2 linked regions of the Rhinolophus ferrumequinum genome follow. The protein of the gene in region 2 interacts with the protein of the main gene of each other region in a pairwise test. Links are inferred from orthologs where the notes say so. Each region holds a gene or a part of one and is shown on either strand. Other genes may lie near its edges.

What was found.
Region 1: the proteins of CEP57L1 (region 2) and RAD51D interact in binary tests that used the Homo sapiens proteins (3 or more experiments, as listed by UniProt). The two-hybrid records come from large-scale screens. The link is inferred for Rhinolophus ferrumequinum from reciprocal best matches to the Homo sapiens genes CEP57L1 and RAD51D.

The regions. Positions count from the first base shown.
Region 1 is NC_046304.1:23,033,380-23,043,650, forward strand, and holds the start of RAD51D (DNA repair protein RAD51 homolog 4), read right to left. Parts: upstream 5,044-10,271; 5' UTR 4,865-5,043; coding exon 4,783-4,864; intron 4,450-4,782; coding exon 4,388-4,449; intron 4,143-4,387; coding exon 4,024-4,142; intron 1-4,023. Other genes in the region: FNDC8 (fibronectin type III domain-containing protein 8), read left to right, coding at 6,507-6,715, 9,806-10,175. UniProt on the Homo sapiens protein: Involved in the homologous recombination repair (HRR) pathway of double-stranded DNA breaks arising during DNA replication or induced by DNA-damaging agents. Bind to single-stranded DNA (ssDNA) and has DNA-dependent ATPase activity.
Region 2 is NC_046286.1:61,797,465-61,807,827, forward strand, and holds the start of CEP57L1 (centrosomal protein CEP57L1), read left to right. Parts: upstream 1-5,554; 5' UTR 5,555-5,781; coding exon 5,782-5,901; intron 5,902-8,456; exon of another isoform or gene 8,457-8,497; coding exon of another isoform or gene 8,498-8,581; intron 8,582-10,363. Other genes in the region: SESN1 (sestrin-1), read right to left, coding at 4,178-4,456. UniProt on the Homo sapiens protein: Centrosomal protein which may be required for microtubule attachment to centrosomes.

The sequences.
Region 1 (10,271 bases), on a different chromosome or scaffold from region 2:
CCACAGCCTAGATCATTGGCTCTGTGTCCTGACCACACACACACCCCTTGTCTAACACTGCATTCATCTTCACAGGTGCCAGTCCTCTGAAATGGCTCTGCAAGACCTCCCACGACCCCTCCGTATACGCCAAGTAGCACCTTACTAAGCACCCCATCTATTTCAATTCCAGGGACCCCATGATTAGAACCACAGGTCCCTACCAGTCCAAACACTCTGGTTACCACTGCAGCCCTGTGGCTTCCTGGGATGACTGTGTTTATCCTGTGTCTGTTTTAATAAGCACCTTTTTAAAAACACATCCAGCCTCTACCGCTCCTGGATGCCATTCCTCCCCCTGAGATTAGAGAACCCGCAGTCCCATTGCAGCAGCGCTTCTCCCAGTATCTTCCCCAGAGCAGCAGCAGCGGCGGCATCACCTGGGAACTGGGTAGAAATGCAAACTCTCAGGCCCCACCCCACACCTAGCGAACCAGAAACTCTGGGGCTAGAGACCGAATCTGAGTTCTATCTCCGGGTGATTTGGATGCGTGCTCGAGTTTGAAAACCATTAAGCTAAGCTAGTGATCTCAATCCTACCTGCCTATTACAATCACCAAAGGAATTTAAAAAACAGGCCGGTATCAGCGGTTTCCAAACTTGCTTGTACCCTGGAGTCGCCTGGGAGCTTCAAACAATACTGATATCTGAGTCTCATCCCCAGAGAGTGCGATTTGTCTATAGAAGCCTGGCTTTTGCATGTTTAAAGTAAGCACTCAATAAACAGTCTTGAAAGAATGAATTACAGGAGAAAAGTTGGAAATTTCCAAATTGGTGATTGAATAATTAATTATGGGTAAACTGTGATTTATACATATTATATAATATTGTATGACCACTAAAATGTTTTGAAGACTTAAAGACATTGGGGAAATGTTAAGACATTGGAGAGAACGTGAAGCAAAAGGGATGATAACAATGTGTACACTATCTAACAGGAATCTTAGATATTATGGACACAGAAAGGCTAAAATTATTAACTGAGGTGGTTTTTCTTTTTTTCTTTGTGTTTCCCTGTGTGTTGCAAATTGTCTATCATGAGCATGTATTACTTGTATAAACAGAAAAACACTAAATGTTACTATTTTTTATGATGCTGTAACATTCCGACCTGTAATAAAAACGTATCCATTAAAAAGAATTCTCGGGCAGCTGACTGACTTAGTGGTTAGAGTGCAGGGCGCATAACACCAAGGTTGCCAGTTCGATTCCCACATGGGCCAGTGAGCTGCGCCCTCCAAACTAGATTGAAAACAACGACTTGACATGGAGCTCATGGGTCCTGGAAAAACACTGTTCCCCAATATTCCCCAATAAAAAAAATTGTTTTAAAAAGGATTCTCAGGTGACTCTAATGTGCGGACAAGTTTGGGAGCCACTAGCCTAGAGCAGGTAAATCAGAATTTCTAAAGGCGAGACCGAGGTATAACTACTTCTTAAGCTTCCAAATGATTCTAATGTGCAGCCTGGGCTAAATCATTGGGTTCTCCAGTCAAGAATCAAGCACATTCTTGGCCGTGAGGATCACTCTGCACAAGGAATTTCCAAATCCACCTCCCAGCTGACTTTTCACCTGTTTTGTTCCATGTCTCTTTCTGCCTAGAGGACCTCTCTACTGATCACCTCTAACTCAGCACACTGAAATGGAGACAGACCCCGCTGCCGTGTGGAGCAGAAGAATACCTGGGTTTTACCACTTGCTTTGGATACAAGTGACTTCTGGGATTTATCCTCTACCTTTCCCTCTGAACTGGCTTTTAGTCATTCCTTCACAGCCATTCATTCAATCATCACCTGAATGCCCCACATTTCCTGAAGGCCTTATTCTAAAATAAGGGAGATATAGAAATGAACAAAACATGTCTACGGCCTTCAAGGAACCACTCAGCCCCCCCTCCCCCCAATCCATACAGCTTCTTCCAAGGTACATTCCATGTTCTACTGTCCTCATAAAAGTCCACACTGCATATCTGCACTAAAGGCTCTGGGAAGGTCTATGACAAAGAGATCTCTTTAACTCGGGTTACTGGAACATTTCCCAAATTTTTGACTAAAGAACTCCCCTCCTGGTTCCCTTTAAAACATCACATCCATTCACTGTCCACAGACCACTGTGAGGAAGGAGAAACCTAGGGAGTCATCTTTGATTCTTCACACCTGAATCCTACCTGGCAGTAAGGCTTGCCACTTGTCCTCATCAATACGTCTCCCGCTGTCACCTGCCTTAGATCGGACTCACACACCCCACCGCTGCCATCCCTTTCCTTGGGCTCTCTCCTGCCAGCCTCCCTAGTCCCATCCACCCTGCACACCTCTACCACACGCCTGTAGCTCTAGTTTCACAATACGGCCCACCGCCTTGAGGGACAACAGGGTAGATGGTTTAGAGTCAGGTTCTTAGACTTAGGAGTATGACAGATGTGACTTCTGGGGTCTAGTCTGCCACTTACTAGCTGCATGATCTTGAGCAAGCCACCTAACCCGAGTCTCAGTTCCTCATCTAAAGAATGGTGATTTTAGTTGTAATGCACTCATTGGTGGTTGGGAAGAACAAATGAAATAATGCACCGTGAAGTGTAAACACGGTGCCTGGCCTTTGGTAAGCACTGAGAAAGGCCACGCGTTCCTCAATGCCCAAGACCTGCCTCCTTCACAGAGGCTTCCTGAGCCTCTCTGCTCTCCCCTGCAGTGACCCTCTGCAGCTGCAATCCTGCCAGTTTACCACTTGACTGCTCCATAAATGCTTCCTCTGAGGATGTTGGTTTTATAAGCTCCCAAAGCCCAAAGGCCAAGTCTGTTAATCACCCCTTTCTTATGCGGCCTCCACGCATGCATGCACCTCTCTGTTGTGTTCACCTGCTCTTCTTTCTACTCACTAGACCCCACACTCAAGTGCAGAAGCCTCACTTGCACACCTATCATCTGAATCTTATCTGGCACCCAATAGGCACTCAGCCAGTGCTTGATGGATAACAGACTCAGACCCCCAACCAGGGGGAGCAGGCACCATGCTGTTGAACCTTGCCAAGAGAACGTGTTATGGAAACAGCAAGGGTCAAACTGATCCAAAAACCTTTCTGATGGTAGAGTTCTTCATCAAATTCCACACCAACAGGCCCTTGGCTAGAAACTGGCTGTTGTCCTCCATCTCTCTCTCTCTTTCAACAACATGGCAGAATGTATTAGGTTGGTGCAAAAGTAACTGCGGTTTTCGCAATTATTTTTAACCTTTTAAACCGCAATTACTTTTGCACCAACCTAATAACTAGTCCTTTATGGAAGCTCTCTTGTCCCCTCCTGCTGCAGAGTATGGGGCATGCACCAAGTTCTAGGTCAAATACCCCAGGGCTTGAGCCCCACCTCTGCCCCTCACTCCTCTTGGGTTAAACTGAAGTGGCTTAATAATTACTAACTCACAGGATTCACTGAAGTGATTATATAACCTACATTCAATGGCTGGCACATAGTAGGCACTCAGTGAATGTTAGTCCTGCCAAGTTCCCTCCTGCACTATCCTTAAGTTAAAATAGGAGGTAGGGCCAGAGAAGAGTTGCTCTGATATGCTGAATAACAGTGAAATATTGACATCGTGTGTTACAGGACAGTAGTTCTCAATCAGAGACAATTCTGTGTCCCTCAGGGTCATTTGGCAATTTCTGGAGACATTTTTTGATTGTCATGACATAGGGAGGAGGGAGGTGTTACTGGCATCTAGTGGATAGAGACCAGGGAGGCTGCCAAACATCCTACAGTGCACAGGACACCCTGATCGCCACCAAATAATTATGTATCCCAAAGTGTTAGGAGTGTGAGGTCGAGAAACCCCGTTTAAGGTAAGAGAAGTCAGAAGTCTTGACCATTGGTCCAAACGGGCCTCACCACTGCCTGAGAAACCCTGCTCTCTAGACTCAAGCATCAAAACCCAAGCAGGAGGCAGCCATGTCCTCCTGCCTCTGACCTTCTTCCCCAAGTACACATACAAACCTTCCAATGCCGGTAGACAGGATGGCAGTGGAGGTCTTCAGTTCCTCGTAGAGATCAGCGCCATTGAAGGGAAAAGCTGAGAATTGGGCGAGCAGTACCCGCCTCAGCGCAACCAGGGCCTGCCGGAGGGGCGGGGACAACTCAGGACGAGCCCAGGGGCACTTCAACCCAAAGCGGACCAAGAGTACTCAGCAACCAAGAGTACTCAGCCACGAGCAATGACCAGCCAAGGGAGGGGGCATCCCAGGGTCTCCTACGCCCCACCCCACCCCCCCCATCAATCTCTCGGAACCCTTCACTCCCTGGGCTCAGGGATGAACATGTAGAAACACCCCGGTTTGGAAAGTGTAGTTCGTCAGCTCACCTTATAAGACAAGCCACATTTCTGGGCTACCTCCTCCAGGTCTGCGGAAACCAGGTCCACCACTGAAAACAAAACAAGTGTGGATGATTGGCAGGAAGGGCGGGGCTTCCCGCACTTGGCTTTTCCTCATCTGTGAAATGGGGTGACAGTGTTACCTTAGGGCAGACCATCATCTCAGGAGGCCTACGGGAACTACCAGAGCCACAGGACCTGACGCGGTGCCCAGCACACAGTAGGAGCCTGCCTGGGGTTTGGGGTGCCCACTCCCTCCCTCCGAGCCTCTCCAGAAGGGTGGGGGGCACAGGAAGGCGGAGCTATCCCCCTCCCGGGTATGTCAGGGCGGTGGGGGTGGCATCCGCGGTGTGCCCAGCTGTGTGGGGCGCACACGCGGTCACCTGTCTTGATCCCGCGGCTCCTCAGAAGCTGGATCATGTCCTGGGTAAGGCCTGGGCACAGTCCGGCCCTGAGCATGCCCATGTTCCCTGGGGACCCCGGGCCGCTATTCCCGTGGACATCAGCGGGGCCCTTTCTAGACGCCTCCCGGCGCCTCTTTCTGGAGGGGCCCCGGGCCCGCGGGGACGAAAGGAAGCGGCGGCGCGGAGAGTGCGGACCCTGCCGGGTCTCCCTTGCCCAGGGCCCGCCCTCCCGGGCCGCAGGGCCGCTTCCGGCTTCCAGGCTCCAGGGCCGGACCGATAGCGCCATCTGCTGGCTGCGAGGGACGGACGAGCGGCTTCCTGCGAGCCTCGGTTCTAAACGCTGGGCCAGGAAGCTCGACAAGGCTAGCCATCCCTATGCACAGGGGACCTGCTTGTTAGTGAGGGCAAGACAGTGAAGAGAAATCAAATCAATTAAATAGTATGGGGGCAGCCGGTTTGCTCAGTGGTTAGAGCGCAGTGCTCATAACACCAAGGTCGCCAGTTGCATTCCCACATGGGCCAGTGAGCTGCGCCCTCCACAACTAGATTGAAAAAACGACGATTTGACTTGGAGCTCATGGGTCCTGGAAAAACACACTGTTCCCCAATATTCCCTAATAAAAATTTTTTTAAAAAGTTAAATATTACAGATTATATCATTGGTGCTAAGAGGCAACGGAACACACAGAAAACACCTGCTTCTCTGTACTTTCCATTTTTTAATGAATAACAGCAAAAACCCTGAGTATATAGAACACAAAAAATAGGATTTGTTATTTTTAAATGTCCTTTGCTTTGTCTCATCCTGGAAGAAACAAAACAACCTTACAGGGTTATCTTCTCATAATCCAATGAGGCAGGTGCTATGTTTATCCCTATTTCGCAGATGAGGAAACTGAGGCTCAGGGAGGTAAAGTCATATCTCAAAGACTACAGAGCTTGTAAGGGCAGAGCTGGATTTAGCACAGACAAATCCACATCTAAGTGCAAAGCCAATGCTCTTCTCTTCTTATCCCCGAAGTTGTATGTTTTCCTACTGTACAGTGGTGTCCTTGAGAACAGAAATAATGTCTGGCCCATCTTTGTTTCCCTCTGCAGCACTCCCAACTGTCGCTCAACATACGAAGCACTTGGGGTGAGGGTGTGGCATGTTTAGAAGTCTAGCCATGAAACCTGGGTATATGTGAGCTATGAACTCCATGAACTTATGGGCTTTCCCTTTGCCTATATGACTGAACATAGTGAGGCTGTGCTGCCTAGAATTTTGGATAGAGAGCCTCAGTGTTCTACAAAGTCTCGTACTCCCAGAGACCCATTCCAGCGCTGCCTCCCTCCGTGCCCAGGTGTCTTTCTCCCACCATCCTTCTCCTCCTTCCCAGGGCAGCACCAAAAGGTACAGGTGGTAAACATTTTGAGATCTTCAGAGGACAGAGTTGCTGTAACCACAGAGCATTTGCGCTGGAAGGGTGATGGAGTCTGTTCCTTAGCTCTACCCCACTCTAGATCCTGGCCCTGGGCAGCAGCAGCCTCAGATCAAGGGAGAGGCTTGCCCCTAATTGTTATGCTCTGTGATGTTTATGAAGTCAGCTCATTGCACCCCCATCCCACCCAAATTAGGGTGGGTCCGCTGCCCCCAGTTTCTCTCTGCCTCCTGTCAGCTTGGTTGTCCTGTACGGTGACAGCTGTGGTCCCAAACAAACTAGATGGCATCAGAGGTGCTCTGTAAAGTGGGAGATGGGGAGGAGACCATGCTGAAAAAGGAAACCCTCAATGTTTCGAGTGTGCTTGATCAAAAGTCGAAGCCCTTTCCAAACCCCAAGTCTATGAACAGGACGGTTGCTACCAAAGGACTCCCACTTTCCTCAAGAGGCAGTTTGGTTAACTTCTTGGAGGAAGATACCATCAATCTACCGTAAGACAAAAGTCTGGTCCTTTTCTCCTTTCTTAGGCCAGGGCTGAGGGGTGGGGAAGGGCTTGAAGAAGCGGTACTTTCTGGACCTGTCACAACCCAGGTCCTGAGCTCCCAGGGAAGAGCATGTGTGCAGGATGCACCATGGATTCCGGACCCCAAATCACTTCTTGGAGGCATGTGGGCCTGCAGTTCCAGGAGGCCTTTCGGGATTAGTTAGAGATTTGTTAACAGTGCTTCTCGTCTACTTTGTCTAGTTAAGGTCTTTTTCCCACACCCCCAGCCACCCACAGACACCCCTGCTCCATTCTACTCCCCTAAGACTCCTCTTCTCAATCCTCCCTTCTGGTGCCTTCTGCTGCCTGATTATATCCCCCCAATAGTCTGCCTGCTTTTGGACTGAGGTTTATGTTCCTCCTCAGTAATTCTGGGTTCCATTTACTTCATTCCAAAAAACTCTTTGAGCTCCTGCAAGGTGTCTAGCCCAGGGTTAAGTTCTGGGAAGGCAGAGCTGAAAAGAACAGTCCCTGCCTTTAAAGAGCTCCCAGCCTGGGGTATGTGTGTTGGGAAGGTGCCAGGAAAGAATTGCGAATAAAGCAACTAGGAAAGGACACTGAGGCACCAGAGGGGGGTTAGTATAGCTTGGAGGGGGGTTCAGTTAGGGAAGGCTTCCTGGAAGAGGTGACATGTGAGCTGAATCTCCTAGGAAGGGAAGCAGTGAGCCAGTGAAGGGGTGGTGGTGCAGGTTGATGGAGGCTGAGGGAGTTATCTGCAGGGCATTTTCATGGGCGTGTGACCTGTGTAGTCATACACAACCCCACACTTAGAAGGGCCCAGTGCTTAACTTCAATGCTCCGCTGTCACTGTCTTGAAATTCTTAATAATTTTTGAAGAAGGGGACCCACAAACTATGTAGCTCGTCTTGATTATAGAAAAGGGATGTAGTGTCCCTTCCCCCTAATGGACCTGTAAGTAAGCGGGTATGGCTAAAGTCATGGATGTTTATAGGAAACTTCATGGTATAGTAGGAAAGTCTAGGGCTATGAGGCCACGTTCAAATCCACGTTCTACCATTTAGATCTATGGCTGTAGACTGAAGGTCATTAATTTGCAAAATGGGGCTACCACCCATCTAGTAGGGCTGCTGTAAAGATCAGAATAGAATATGTCCAGCATGTAGCCTACTTCTTCCCTGCCTTCCATGCCCACTTCTGCACTGGTGTTTTGAATAAGGAAATCTAAAATAGAGGTTCATTAGGACAATCTGAAGTATAAATGGCATTAATACTCAGACTCTTCGGCGTATAAGAGACCTTAGTGAGGGAATCATCTGTTCCAAATGTCCACCAAAGGCTAGCATAGGAGCTTTGAGTTGATCAGGATATTTTTAGGAGGAGGCCGACGGGGCTGGAGCTCAGGGAGGAAAAATTTGGCCCATCAACCAACCATGAAGCCTGTGGCTGGTCTGGAGTAAGGGATCCAGGGGTGTGTGGTGGTTGCTGGACTTGGCCAGAGCAGCTGGGGGAGATGGGGTAGGAAGCAGAGGAGAAGAGCCAGGGACAGATGGGAGCTACATAGCAATGGGACAGGCCTGGGACCCCGGAGACCTGGGTTTTAGTTCAAACTCTGTCATCAATTCACTGTGTGACCTTGACTGCCCTCTCTAGACAAGTGCTCTTCAAACTGTGGGTTGTGACCCATTAGTGAGTCAGGAACTCATTCTAGTTGGTAGAGACCAATATTTTAAAAATGAAATAAAACAGATCAAAAATTCCAGGGCCTATCACGCATAAAGTACTGGTTTGTGCAGTTGTGTTTTAGTTGTATGTATATGTATGAGTATACTACATTGCCATGTAATGTGTATTTCTTTGAGTCAAGATAAAAAAAAGATTTGAAAGCCAATTTTTGGGGGATTTTGCACTTCATCAGTAATAAAAAAAAAAATTAAGTAGTGGGCAAACATGTGGAAGGTTTGTCTTTGTAACAGTAAAGAATTGGTAACAATACAAATATCCCTGTAATGGAAAACCACACAAAAATCAAAATGACTGAGTCAGAGCTACATGTATAATACAGATAGATCTAAAAAGCACAATGTTGAGTGAAAAAGCAAGCTACCATCGATATGTACACAATGTGATCATTTATTTGTGTAAAGTTTAAAAATATGCAAAATAGGCCTTGCTTAGGGATAACATACATATGTAACAAACCCATAAAGACATATGGGGAATAATAAACACAAAATTTTAAATTTACTGGTTAGCTCTTAGAGGGAGTATGAGGACGGAGGTGGGGAGAGACACGTCCGGGGCCTTAACTATCTTGATGAGGCTTTAGTTCTGAAGCTGGATGATGGCTAAATAAAAGCTTAATAATATTAGGTTGATGCAAAAGTAATTGCGGTTTTTGCAATTATGTTTAACCTTTTAAACCGCTATTACTTTTGTACCAACCTAATATATTATTCTTGATATCTTTGGATATGTCTAAAATAGTTCATAATTTTAAGAAATTAGAAGAAAAGTTTGAGAATTCACCCCAGTATATGTATATTTATAATAATTTTACGGCTATATATTTTACATGTTAAATGCTAAGTAAATGAATTAGTAATTGCATTACATATTAAACAATAATAATAAATAAATGTTAATAAAGCTGCATTTATTTTTTTTTTTTTTTAGATACTTTTAGATATTTTCCCATACCTCAGGAGATCACTGTGCTCATTTCCTGGAGCGTTTGCGCCCTGCTTTGGAGGGAGGACTTCCAGTTTTGGCAGTCTTTCTCAAATTGTGGTTCTCAGAACAGCTGCGTTAGAATCGTCTGAGGATCCTATTAACTTTAGCAGCTCCCCCACCCCCATCCCCCCTGGGGTCTGGGGATCAGGAACCTGCGTTTTTTCACTACTAAGTGCCCGGGCGGGTTTGATGTGCTGCCACGCAGCAGTAGGACGTTCTCAGTTGTTCAGAAGCAGCTGGGGACCTTTGTAAGTCAGGCCCAAGGCATGGCCTCTGGCAGCTTCCAAGCTGCATGGGCTGGGGTGGGCTCCTTCATCTGGCTCATCTGTCTCCCCTCCCACTCCAGGAAGCCGATGCCAGGGGAGGATTCTGAATGTAGCTCCGACGATACCAGCATCTCCCCCATCTCATCCACCTTGTTGAATCCCATCAAATTGGCAGTGACCCAGCCCAACAGCAGCTTCTTTGCAGGGATGCTGGAAAGCGAGCTGAACAAACTCAGCCTCTCCTCCATGGCCAAGAATACAGAAAAGGGAGCGCTGGCCCTCAGCCCCCACCGATATAAGTCCCAAGTGGCCACTGGGGGCCTGCTGGACCTTGACAACCCTGAGCTGGATAAGGACACGTCCTCCACACCCTCGGAGTCCTCTGTGGTCATGGACATACCAGAGGCACCTTTCATCTGTGAACACACAGTCAGCGATTCCACGGCCGTGGTGCGTTCCCTGACTTGTACTTGCAGCAAAGGCTTACTGTCTGCCCCCAATGTGCCAGGCACTGAGCTGAGCTCTGTGGGGGAGTGTAACGATCCC
Region 2 (10,363 bases):
CGCGTCACTAAAGGAAAGCCTCCTCCACCCCACTGAACCGAGATAAATACTTTGTTACTTGGTCTAAATTTTCTATCTTAAGCCAAATTACTTTCAGACATTTGCAGATGAAAATGAAAATGATCAAATAACAATTCTTGGAAAAGTACTTGCTATTTTGGATACTCAAAATCTTTTGATATAAATATATATATACACATATATATGTGTGTGTGTGTGTATATATATATATATATATACACATATATATATACATTCACACACACACTCACATTTCCCCTCTTAATTACCATGCATCAAGACTATATAGTACACCAGTGAACCGTATTAGTATACTGGGCCAGTGTTATTACTTCTGTGCCTTTGTTTAGGGAATCAATCATATAAAAAAGGTATTACAGGATTAATTAAAAAAAAAAAAACCCTGTAAATAAAGCCTCCTATGAGAATAGAAGAACTTCCTCAAAAGCAGGGAACAAATCTTACTGATCTTCCAGTCCCCAGTACAGTTCTGACAGAGAATAGTTCTCAAAAATGTGTTGAACAGATTTACGTATGTTGACATGAAATCAATAAATTGAGAGCAGGAATACAAACATACTGCTCTCTCCCAATGTGCTGATTTTTTACAGGTTTAGCCATTTTAAGTTGCATTCATCCGACCATTGTCCCACCACGTCTCCCTAACAGACTACAGTTCTCTGAGCTGACCCATAGAATTAAGGATCTTCAGAACAGTTGAAAGAATTGCAAATGCACTTCACTCAGCCTTTGCTGCTTTACTAATGAACAGCAAAAAGCATTATGGAGCGCTACGATCTAAATTATTTGGTTTCCCTTGTGAGTCTCATGCCAGAGTGAGAGCAGTAAGGATGGGAGTGGTGGGCAGTGAGGACAGAGCAGTAGGGAGAAGCCAGATTGATGCTGGAATTCTTTAGATTCCACTCTGTTTTAAAGGATTTTAGGCAGATTTCGGCAGATTTTCACTGTAGATAAATGGCTCTGCAGTTACGTGGGGAATGGATATAAATAAAGGTGGAACATAGGTTAAGGCTGGAGGAGGGAGAACAATGGCAGAACTAGAACAGTGGTAGTAGGGGCAGAAATCCCTCAGGAGCTATTACTAACATGAGGTAACATAGGCAACAGGAATCTCAACATGTCTTAAATAGAACTCATCATTCCCCCTAAACTGACCCTCTACCACTCTTCTGTTTCAGGAAATGACGATAATTTCCTTCATCTCCTAGATCCAATTAAAGACTATATCCTATGGTTTCCAACTCCTAGCTCTCTCCCAAACCCATTCACTTTTTTCCACTATGTCCTACTCCGCCATCATTTTTGCTTTGGATAAGTGGACAACTGCCCAGCTGATGTTGCACATCCACTCTTGACCCCTGAAATCCATTCTCTTTGTTTCCAAAGGGAGCTTTCTGATACACCACGGACCATGTCACCATCTTGCTCAAAACCCCTCACAGGCTTCCCATTGTTCCTAGGATGAAGTCCACAACTCTTAACGTGGCTTACAAGATCCTCTGTTATGTGGCTGCCTAAAAACAGAATTCTAAACTGAGCGTTTCTTATGTGCTAGGGACTGTGCTATGTTTTGCAAGCATTGTTTCATTTTATTCTCATTGTGAGGCAGGAACTATTAGCATTGTCCTCATTTTGCAGATGAGAAAACCGAGTCAAGGAGAGATTATGTAATTTTTCTAAGGTTGTAGAGCTAATAAAGTATTGGAGCCAGGTCTGACTCCAGAGCTCGTGCTTAAGCTTTCACACTCCCCTCATCCTGTGCTCCAACCACACTGCATTACTTTCAGTCCTGAGAACTCATCCGCTCTTTTTGGCCAGGAGGCCTCCACACATGTTGTTCCCTGTGCCTGGAATGTCTTCCTCAAAAATCTCATTTTTGCCAGGATAGTATTTATTCACTCATCAAATCTCTGTTTAAATGTCATCTCTTCAGGGAAGTCTTCCCTACCTATCTAAAATTACATTATTTGTTTACTTCCTTCTGATCTGTCTCCCTTCAGTAGAATGTCAAAATTGTTCGGCACTGGTTCCCAGTTCTTAGAATGGCATTCACCTGGGGTTCGATAAACATTTGTTGAATGAAGGCATGACTGAATAATGTGGGGATGGAAACTCCCTAATTTAGTAACTTCATCTATTCAGACTGATAAGAAACAAAAAGAAGCCAAATATAAATTTGTTCATCCACTTGATATTTATTTAGTAGCTCCCAGGTCCCAGCCAATACTTTTGAGAACTTACAGCCCTCCCGGGGGAAGAGACACATAGGCATGATTATAGCACAATATAAGTAAAGTGCCTGTTAAAATTGTGGCAGGAATAAAGTGCAATAGATGCAGAGATGAAAAAAGGTATAAATCTACGGCAAACCTTTACAGTAGAGGAGATTCTTGGATCGTTTTGCAGAATGAATGAGTCTTGAAATATCTATCACATAGTCCATGTATTTCACTTATGAAAGGGGAGAGAAGCATCCACTATATACTGGGGCACTTTACATCGCATTTAATTCTCACAACAGCTCTGTTATTAATTCCCATTTTACAGATGTGGAAATCCAAACTAAAACAAGTCAAGGAACTTGTCCAAGGTTATGCAGTATATTAATAAAGGAGTATAGGTTGACCCAGTACCCATTTACTTACGGTTGTATCACAGTCCTTTGACCCTGTACTCCCCAGAGCCTAATTACTTGTTTTCATTATAACTCTTAACAAAATTGGTTATCTGGTTTCCCATTCTAACAGAAATAAGCAGCAAATGTAAAGGTTCAAAAAGAGACCAAAGTGAAGTATACTAACAGCAAAAAAAGGAACAGGAAAACCATAAAAACTGAACACAAAATTAAAAAAACATGGATCATATAGTCTTCTACATTCCACCCTTAGCTATGCAACAGTACTTGATGTGCATAATGATGACCCCATTATGAAAAAAGGTAATTGTAGTCACTACAGTCTATATGATAAATAATGTTGATGCTTGAGACGGTAAACTTCAGGTATCTAGAAAATTAATCCCTCTCTGGTAACCCTGGATAAATGAATTGTAATGATTATTTCCAAAGTGTCTGTAAGAAAAAATGTCCCAAGATCTTAAAAAGTCTCCATTTTATGGACATGGTTATTTTTCTATTGCTTTAAACTAAATTTTAGCCAGAATAGAAAAACTGTCCATCTTAACTTCCATATGTATACACAAGAAAATCATAAATTTGAAAAACTCACACTATGACTTTGAACACATGTAGATTGAGTAATTTAGACTGAGAAGCACAGTGTTACTGAGCATTGTTAATATCTAAAAACAACCCCTTAAAAGAGAACCATTTTAATAAATCTAATAAAACAGGATAAATTATGTACAAAACAAGAGGAAAACTATAATGTTTAACCTGTTGTACTCACAATTTAAATAGGTGTGTAGAGAAAAAAAAATTAAGCAAACACAGAGAAAGCTGGTTGAGTAATTTACCATAAAAGTGTTTCTGTCATATAGTCTACTTGGGTCCAACTTTTAAATCTGAAGATTTCAGCTCTTTTATAACATAAGCTTTTGTTACTTTATGTAATTCTTCTTCATTTTTTTTTTTTTTAAAGAATGGTTGCAGTTAAGACAACAGACCCTGGATTTTTTTGTTTTGTTTTTAAGAACAAGGGAAAATTGTTTCACCAATTATCTTGAACAAGCTGACAAGGGAACACTTAATATCCTTTATCATTTTGGAGGCTTTTAAATGTGAAACTTTCCACACAGAACACTGGTTGTAACAATGTAAAAAGCATACTGGCTACACTTCCCAACAACATGTAAAAATGAATATAGGGAAAAGTCAGTCTTTACTTGCAACTAACTATAACTCACACATTTTTTCCAGGAGCAATGCAGTTTCTGTTACAACTTTCTAGAAAGACAATACTTGTTTACTTATATTTGAAAATTGCTTTTATTTTAGTTCATGTTGCACAACTTTGGCCCCAAATTCAATGTTTTACAGAACACTCTAAAATTAAGATGTAGCCTGAACTCATAATAAGAGTTCATGTAACAACCTATTAGAAATAAAGTGAATTTAAGTGCAAGTAAAATTTTACTGTATTAGACAGACAGTTGTAATTATAATGCTCTTCCTTACCTGGACGCTCTTCAAAATAAACTCACTTTTCTCTCTTACATCTTTAAAGGGACACCTCTTAGAAAGCATAAGCAGATGAGCAAGCAGCTTATTCAACCCATCCAAAGAAACAGCATTTGAAAGCCCGTCTGATGGACAATAAGGTGTCTCTTTCACCGAACGAAGATACTCAGTTTTTCTCAAAATGATTTGCCTAATGTTTTCCAGTGCTGTCTCTCTAGCAGTTGAATCTCTACTGCACAGTCCATCCCATCTCATTTCATTCTCTCCTTCAGCCATGACAAACGGAGATTTTTTTCTTTGCAGTCTTCAGTTACCTTTCAGCATGTCCCCAAAGACATTTAAGGTGTTTTTAAACAAGAAATGTAAGAAAATCAGGGACATCGAATCGTCATGAAAACACACGTCTGGGTGACATTTGGAACCAGAAGTGTCTTTTAATATTGATGGCTTTCAAACGATCTGCAAGATAGACCTCACCCTCTCCTACACGCAGCGACAGTCTTCTGGTCGGAGACTAAAAAAAAGTTGGAAAGTTGAAACCTTACAGTGCTGGCTTTGCTGGACAGGGAAGTGTTCTCCGTCTCGCGGGGTCAGCGGATATCCTCACGTTGTGGAGCTGTCAAATCCGTGCTCTGCCCCAAAAGGCTGGTAACGTTGAACGCCCTCCAGCCATTCGGGTTTATTTGTGCAGCCACCGCGTTCTCCGGAGCGTTCCCACCCCGCCCCTCCTCGGGCACCAGTCCCCGCCCTCCGCAGTTGCTCCCTGCGCCTCAGCGGCGGGCTGGACGCAGGCTGGGAAGGCTCGCGGAACCGCGGCTCACTGGCCGCCGCGGCCGGAGACCCAAGCGCGCCGGGGAGGCAGCAGCCTCCAGCAGCCGCTGTCTCGGCGGCGTAGTCAGAGGACAGTGCCGAGGTCTGGTTGGCTCCGGACCCCCTGGCAGGCGCCGTTTCTCTCCCGATCGCTGCGTCCTCGCCCGCCGCCCACTGAACCAGACTGGCACCGGGCTGCCCCGCAATCCCCTAGCGCGGGTTGGGCCGCAGAGCTGGTGGAGCCGCAGGGCCCAGGCGCAGAACCCGCCTCTTCGCCCAGCCCCATCTGTGGGGCTCGGCCCAGAGGGCGGGAGCAGGGAGGGGAGATGGGGTCCTCACCCCCCAGCCCCTCCCCTTTCTCCGCCCGGCACAAACCAAGAGCCGCCCCTGCCCTAGCGCCCTGTTCCCCGCCCAGGCAGACGCGACCCGCAGAGGCAAAGCCATTGGAAAAAGCCCCGCCCTCCTCCAGCTACCTCCAGACCCCAAGTCCGTGCGCGACCGCTAACGGCGGCCGGATGCCACGCATGCGCGATGGCGAGCAAGGCGCATGCGCCTTAAGGCCTTGACGTTTGGATTCTCTGGACTGGCGAAGGGAAAGAAAAGTAAGGAGTTGAAGTACCTTGAAACTTTCACAGACAAGGCAAGCACGGCAAAGACGGACGCGCTCCTGGAAGAAACTGAATCTAATCTTAAGATTGGCCTAAAATTAGTGACTATCTCTTTATTACTCCAAATCCTTTATTCAAGGAGGTAGGGCGTCCTCCTATTGAGTGCTGGGAAATGTAGTTTTGATGCTGCTGGCGCGTTCCGTTTGCGATAGAAACTACAGCCCCCACAAACCACTGCGACGTTGCCTTTGGCGGCGGGCGAGTCGACCGTTAGCGCGCTGGGAGACTGAGAGCGTCAGCTTGGTGAGAACTGTAGGCTTGGATGCCACTTTTCCCTTGACAGGGTTTTTCCTTCCTACATTCCTCTGAGATTTTGGAGACAAAGCCGTCGAGGGTTGTCCTCCTTAGTCCAGGGACTTTTTCTAGTAATCTGTGTGGGAAGGACTAGTTCGGGTGCCCAAGCCCGAGGGGCGCGTGGAGGCGAGAAAGTGGGAAAGGTGGCGAATCTAAGAGTCCGAGGGAGCCGCAGACGGCCAGACAAAGAGGGATGCTGTAGGAAGGAGTGCTCCGCGCTGCTGCCTCTGCTTCCGCCCTTTCAGGTGGACTCGTGCGCGATGGATTCATGAATCCCTGTGCAATTGCACCTTTCTTTTGCCGTTGCTTAAGGGTTTTCTGGGCTTTATTTGCTCAGCCAACATGACATCCAAGCAGGGCTTTGCTTTGAAAGTGAGTTGTGAAATCCATTTTATATGAGACTAAAGGGAAAAGACTATCAAGAATATCTGGTATTCCTTGGTATGAATTTTTGCAGGCTTTAAGGATACTATATGAAAAAAGACCTGTAAAAATATTCAAAATTTTAAAAATTCAACCATGTGTTTACAAATTGCTGGTTTTTAAAAAATATCATTCCTCTTAGGAAAAGTCGTGAGCTGATAACCAAATTAAATTTTAATTGTTCACATTGCCGAATAAACGTGTTTCAAAATATGTAGCCTTGTTAGGTCCAGAGTATACAACAGTGAAAAAGATACAGCTCCTATGTATGAAGTTAGAGAAACGAATGGTTAAACATACGGTTACAGTACTGTGTGATATCCTTGGAATGGCTAGAGAGAGGCTCATTTAGCCCAGCCTTGGAAAGTCATGAAAACCATCCCAGTGAAAGAGAGGGCCAAAAGAACAGCATATGGTAAGGCCCAGAAGTGAGAGAGATATGGTACTTTCAGGAAACTACAAAAAGTCAATGGTACTTTCAGGAAACTACAATAAGTCAAATCATATATTTTGAGAGGGATAACTTTTTTTGTATTGATGTACTTTGAAGCTGCAAAGAGACAGGTACTGTAGATTCCAGATACGTAGTTTCTGGAAGTGACCTATCCTTGAACAGATTTATAGTTTCAAAGAATTGGTCTCATTTGGAAAGCCTGGCTACATTCTGATGCTACTAGTTTAATTCAGAATTTTAAAAAATAAGAACTTCTTATGAGTATGATTTCACAAAACAAGCAAAAAAAGTCATTCTTTTTGTGTGTGTGTGTCTTCTTTTTGGGCTCATCCTCCTTTGTCCAACCCCCAAAGGGTAGGGTTTCTTACGTCTAGGTCCCCTTTTTACTGCATAGTTGAAACTGTTCTCATCCATACCCATGCTTTCACCACCACCTATGATTCTTAAATGCATAGCTCCATCCAGCTTCACTTTCAGCTTTCATAGATCCATCTGCTTGTAGTATTTTGACGGCTTACGTTAAAGCCTGAGAACAGGTGGAATCACAAAACAGGCACTCCACTGAGTTTGGGTTGATTTGGAGTTATATACAAAGATGAATATGCAGGAGAGGCCGGTGAATGGACAGGAAGACCCACTTGTCCTAAAGCCAAATGAAAGTGATTAAGGAGGAAGAGTGCTAAATTACGTTAAATGCTGCCCTAGGTCAAGTGAAATGAGGATTGATGATTGACCACTACGTTTAGCAATGTAGATATCACTGAAGATCTTGAGAGCAGTTTTGGTGGAATAAAGGGTAAAAGCCAGATGGGCATTTTATTTAAGAGAAAAATAGAACTGGAGACTGTGGCTGCAGCCCCTCTGGTACTGTTTTCTTTGTTCAGACTTTTCTAGCCTGTCTTTGACTCCTCTTCCTGTAGATCTTAGCTCAAATATCACGTTCTCAAAGTTACCTGAGCTGAATAAATGCCCCTATTATAAATTTACTATCATTATATCATATATCTTTACTTGCTAATAAGTTATAAATTTGTTTCTGCAATTGTCTGTGTGCTAATTTGATTAAAGCATGCCTGCTACTGAAGCATAAGTACACAAGAGCAGTGACTGTGCTGAGTTTTGCTCTTGCTCATCATTTCCAGCTCTGAGTACAGTGGTTGGCATCAAGTATGAACTTAATAAATATTTGATGAATGAATGGAAGAAAAATGTAATGACAGAATTTTCAAAGGTATTAACATATTTACCTGTTGTTTACAAAACACAAGATAATGGATGGAAGAAGGTACTTTATCATGAAAACATTTTAGAAAATTAATCTTAAAAGAGCAAAGCTTTTAGTGCTAGTGAATTGTAGTGCTAACCTTCATGAAATAGGATTTGCTAATATTTTTACCATGTTCCTGCCACCTCATCCTGCTATAAGATAACAGAGTATTTAATAATACTCAAAAAGAGTTTGAAGACTTTGTCTAGAAATAAATGATAAAAATTTATTCAAGGGTCTTAGGTTTTGCAAGCAAGAAACATAACTAGGGAAAAACCCAGAAAGTGTTCCGGAGGAGAAGGTAAAGTTAAGAGTTCTTATAGTACAAAGTGCATTCTTTAATCAGTCCTGCACTCCTAGCCCTAGGGTTGGTCCAGGATGGTTCTCAGCCTGGATGATGGATGCCAGGTGTTCTGGAGGACGGGTGCCTGGAGGTCTGGTCACATCTAGTGTTCTGGATAACGGATGTCAAGTGGTCTGGATACGTGAGTCCTCCATGGGCTGTTCTGAATGTTATCTGGAGGTCTGATACATGTTCAGGCATTGTCGCAGGACTGGAAAGTTCAAAAGTTTAAGTTTCCAGGCTAGTTAAATCAGAGTAGAATCATTTCTCATACCTCAGCCTACTTGATTTTAGTAATTTAGCAGCTTGACTATAGGGACTCCATTTTATTGCTTCACAGTTCATATATATATATATATATATGTGTGTGTGTGTGTGTGTATATATATATATGTGTATATATATGTGTATATACATATGTGTGTGTGTATGTATATATATATACATACATACATATGTATATAGTAGAATACATGTAGAGAAGTAAAAGAATATATGTAGAGGAGTTGCCTCTTTAAATGAATAGTGCTCTAGTCAAGAAAAAGGCTGACTTGGTTGGTCTCCAAGAGGCCTTCATTATAAAATTCGTTAATGAATTTACTATAAAAACAAAACAGGGCACCTGAGGTTTATGGGCTTAGAAACACAATCTTGCTAAGTGTACCAGTTTGTGAGACTTCGAGATAAATATATATATAGATCTATCTATCTATCTATAGATAGATATTTGAGTGATACAGGCTACTGATGAATTTATTGTGATGCCGATTGTTATACTTTGAGATATTTGCCAAATAGATAGCACACTGATTCTCTGACAAAGGGGTTTTCTCAGGAAAATTACATGAGAAATCAGCAGGTTGCTTAGGAGGTAGGATTCAGAACAAATGTGGTCACTTAAAAGCGTTAAGCTATGAGAACCTCCACAGTAGAGCTTTACTTGCCTCCAAGTGTTGTCTTCTCTGAATTGCTTTTTCTGTTTCCATTCCTGACATCCCTTCTTTTTGATAAAAATATTCTTTCTTTAAATATGCTAAGGCGTTTGTATTGCAGCCTAGTCTGTGGCCTTAGGGCTGTTCTGTCTCTATACGCTAATTTTGCATGTATCTGCTCTAGTCTATTATATACTGATTTAGAGTTTAGCTCTCAGAGGGTAATTTTATTTCCAAGTTTTCCTAGGCCCAACATATCATATGGGGTACATTGATCTTGAGCTTAGCAACAAGGTCTGAACTACAGGTATATATTTGGAAACTATCAGCCTCTTGGAATATTTTGTTTTAGTTTACGTTTAAGCTACCATGTCTAAGCGCTTACTATGTTTCAGGCACTCTGTTAAATGCTTAGCATATATATTCTTTTATCTTTACAGAGCTAAAAAAAAAAAAAATCCAAAACTTACTCTTAACCTCTATTGGTTATGGAGACAATGTAGAAAAAGGACAGATCCAGGGTAGCCTGAAACTAACCAGAGAAGGAAGAGAATAATCAGTAGATAGTCAACCAAGGGATTCGAAAATTTCAAAAAGGAATTGACTAGTCGATACACAGAGTGCTACTGCCAGCATGTCTAGAAAGCTAAAGTTTCTAGGTGGTTTGACACTTACCGTAGTATCCCTGTTACAGTACAATATATGCATCTGGCATATATACCATATAAACATTGAATTGCTATGCTGTATTGAGATAGAGATTGATTGATTGGGGTGGCCTGTCGGGTAAAACCGTGCTGCTCCCTGAGGACAGGAGCGTCTCTCCCAAAGGGCTGGCATTCCTCTTGTTCAGCCTCTGCCAAGAAGAGGTAGGTTCCAGGTCAGCAAACTATCACTTGGATAAAGGGCTCTAAGTGGGAAAGGGTGACTCAGGATCTCTCTAAGCTGCTCTTTCCTTGGGTGCTGAGTGCGAAAATAGTGCTCATCAGTTG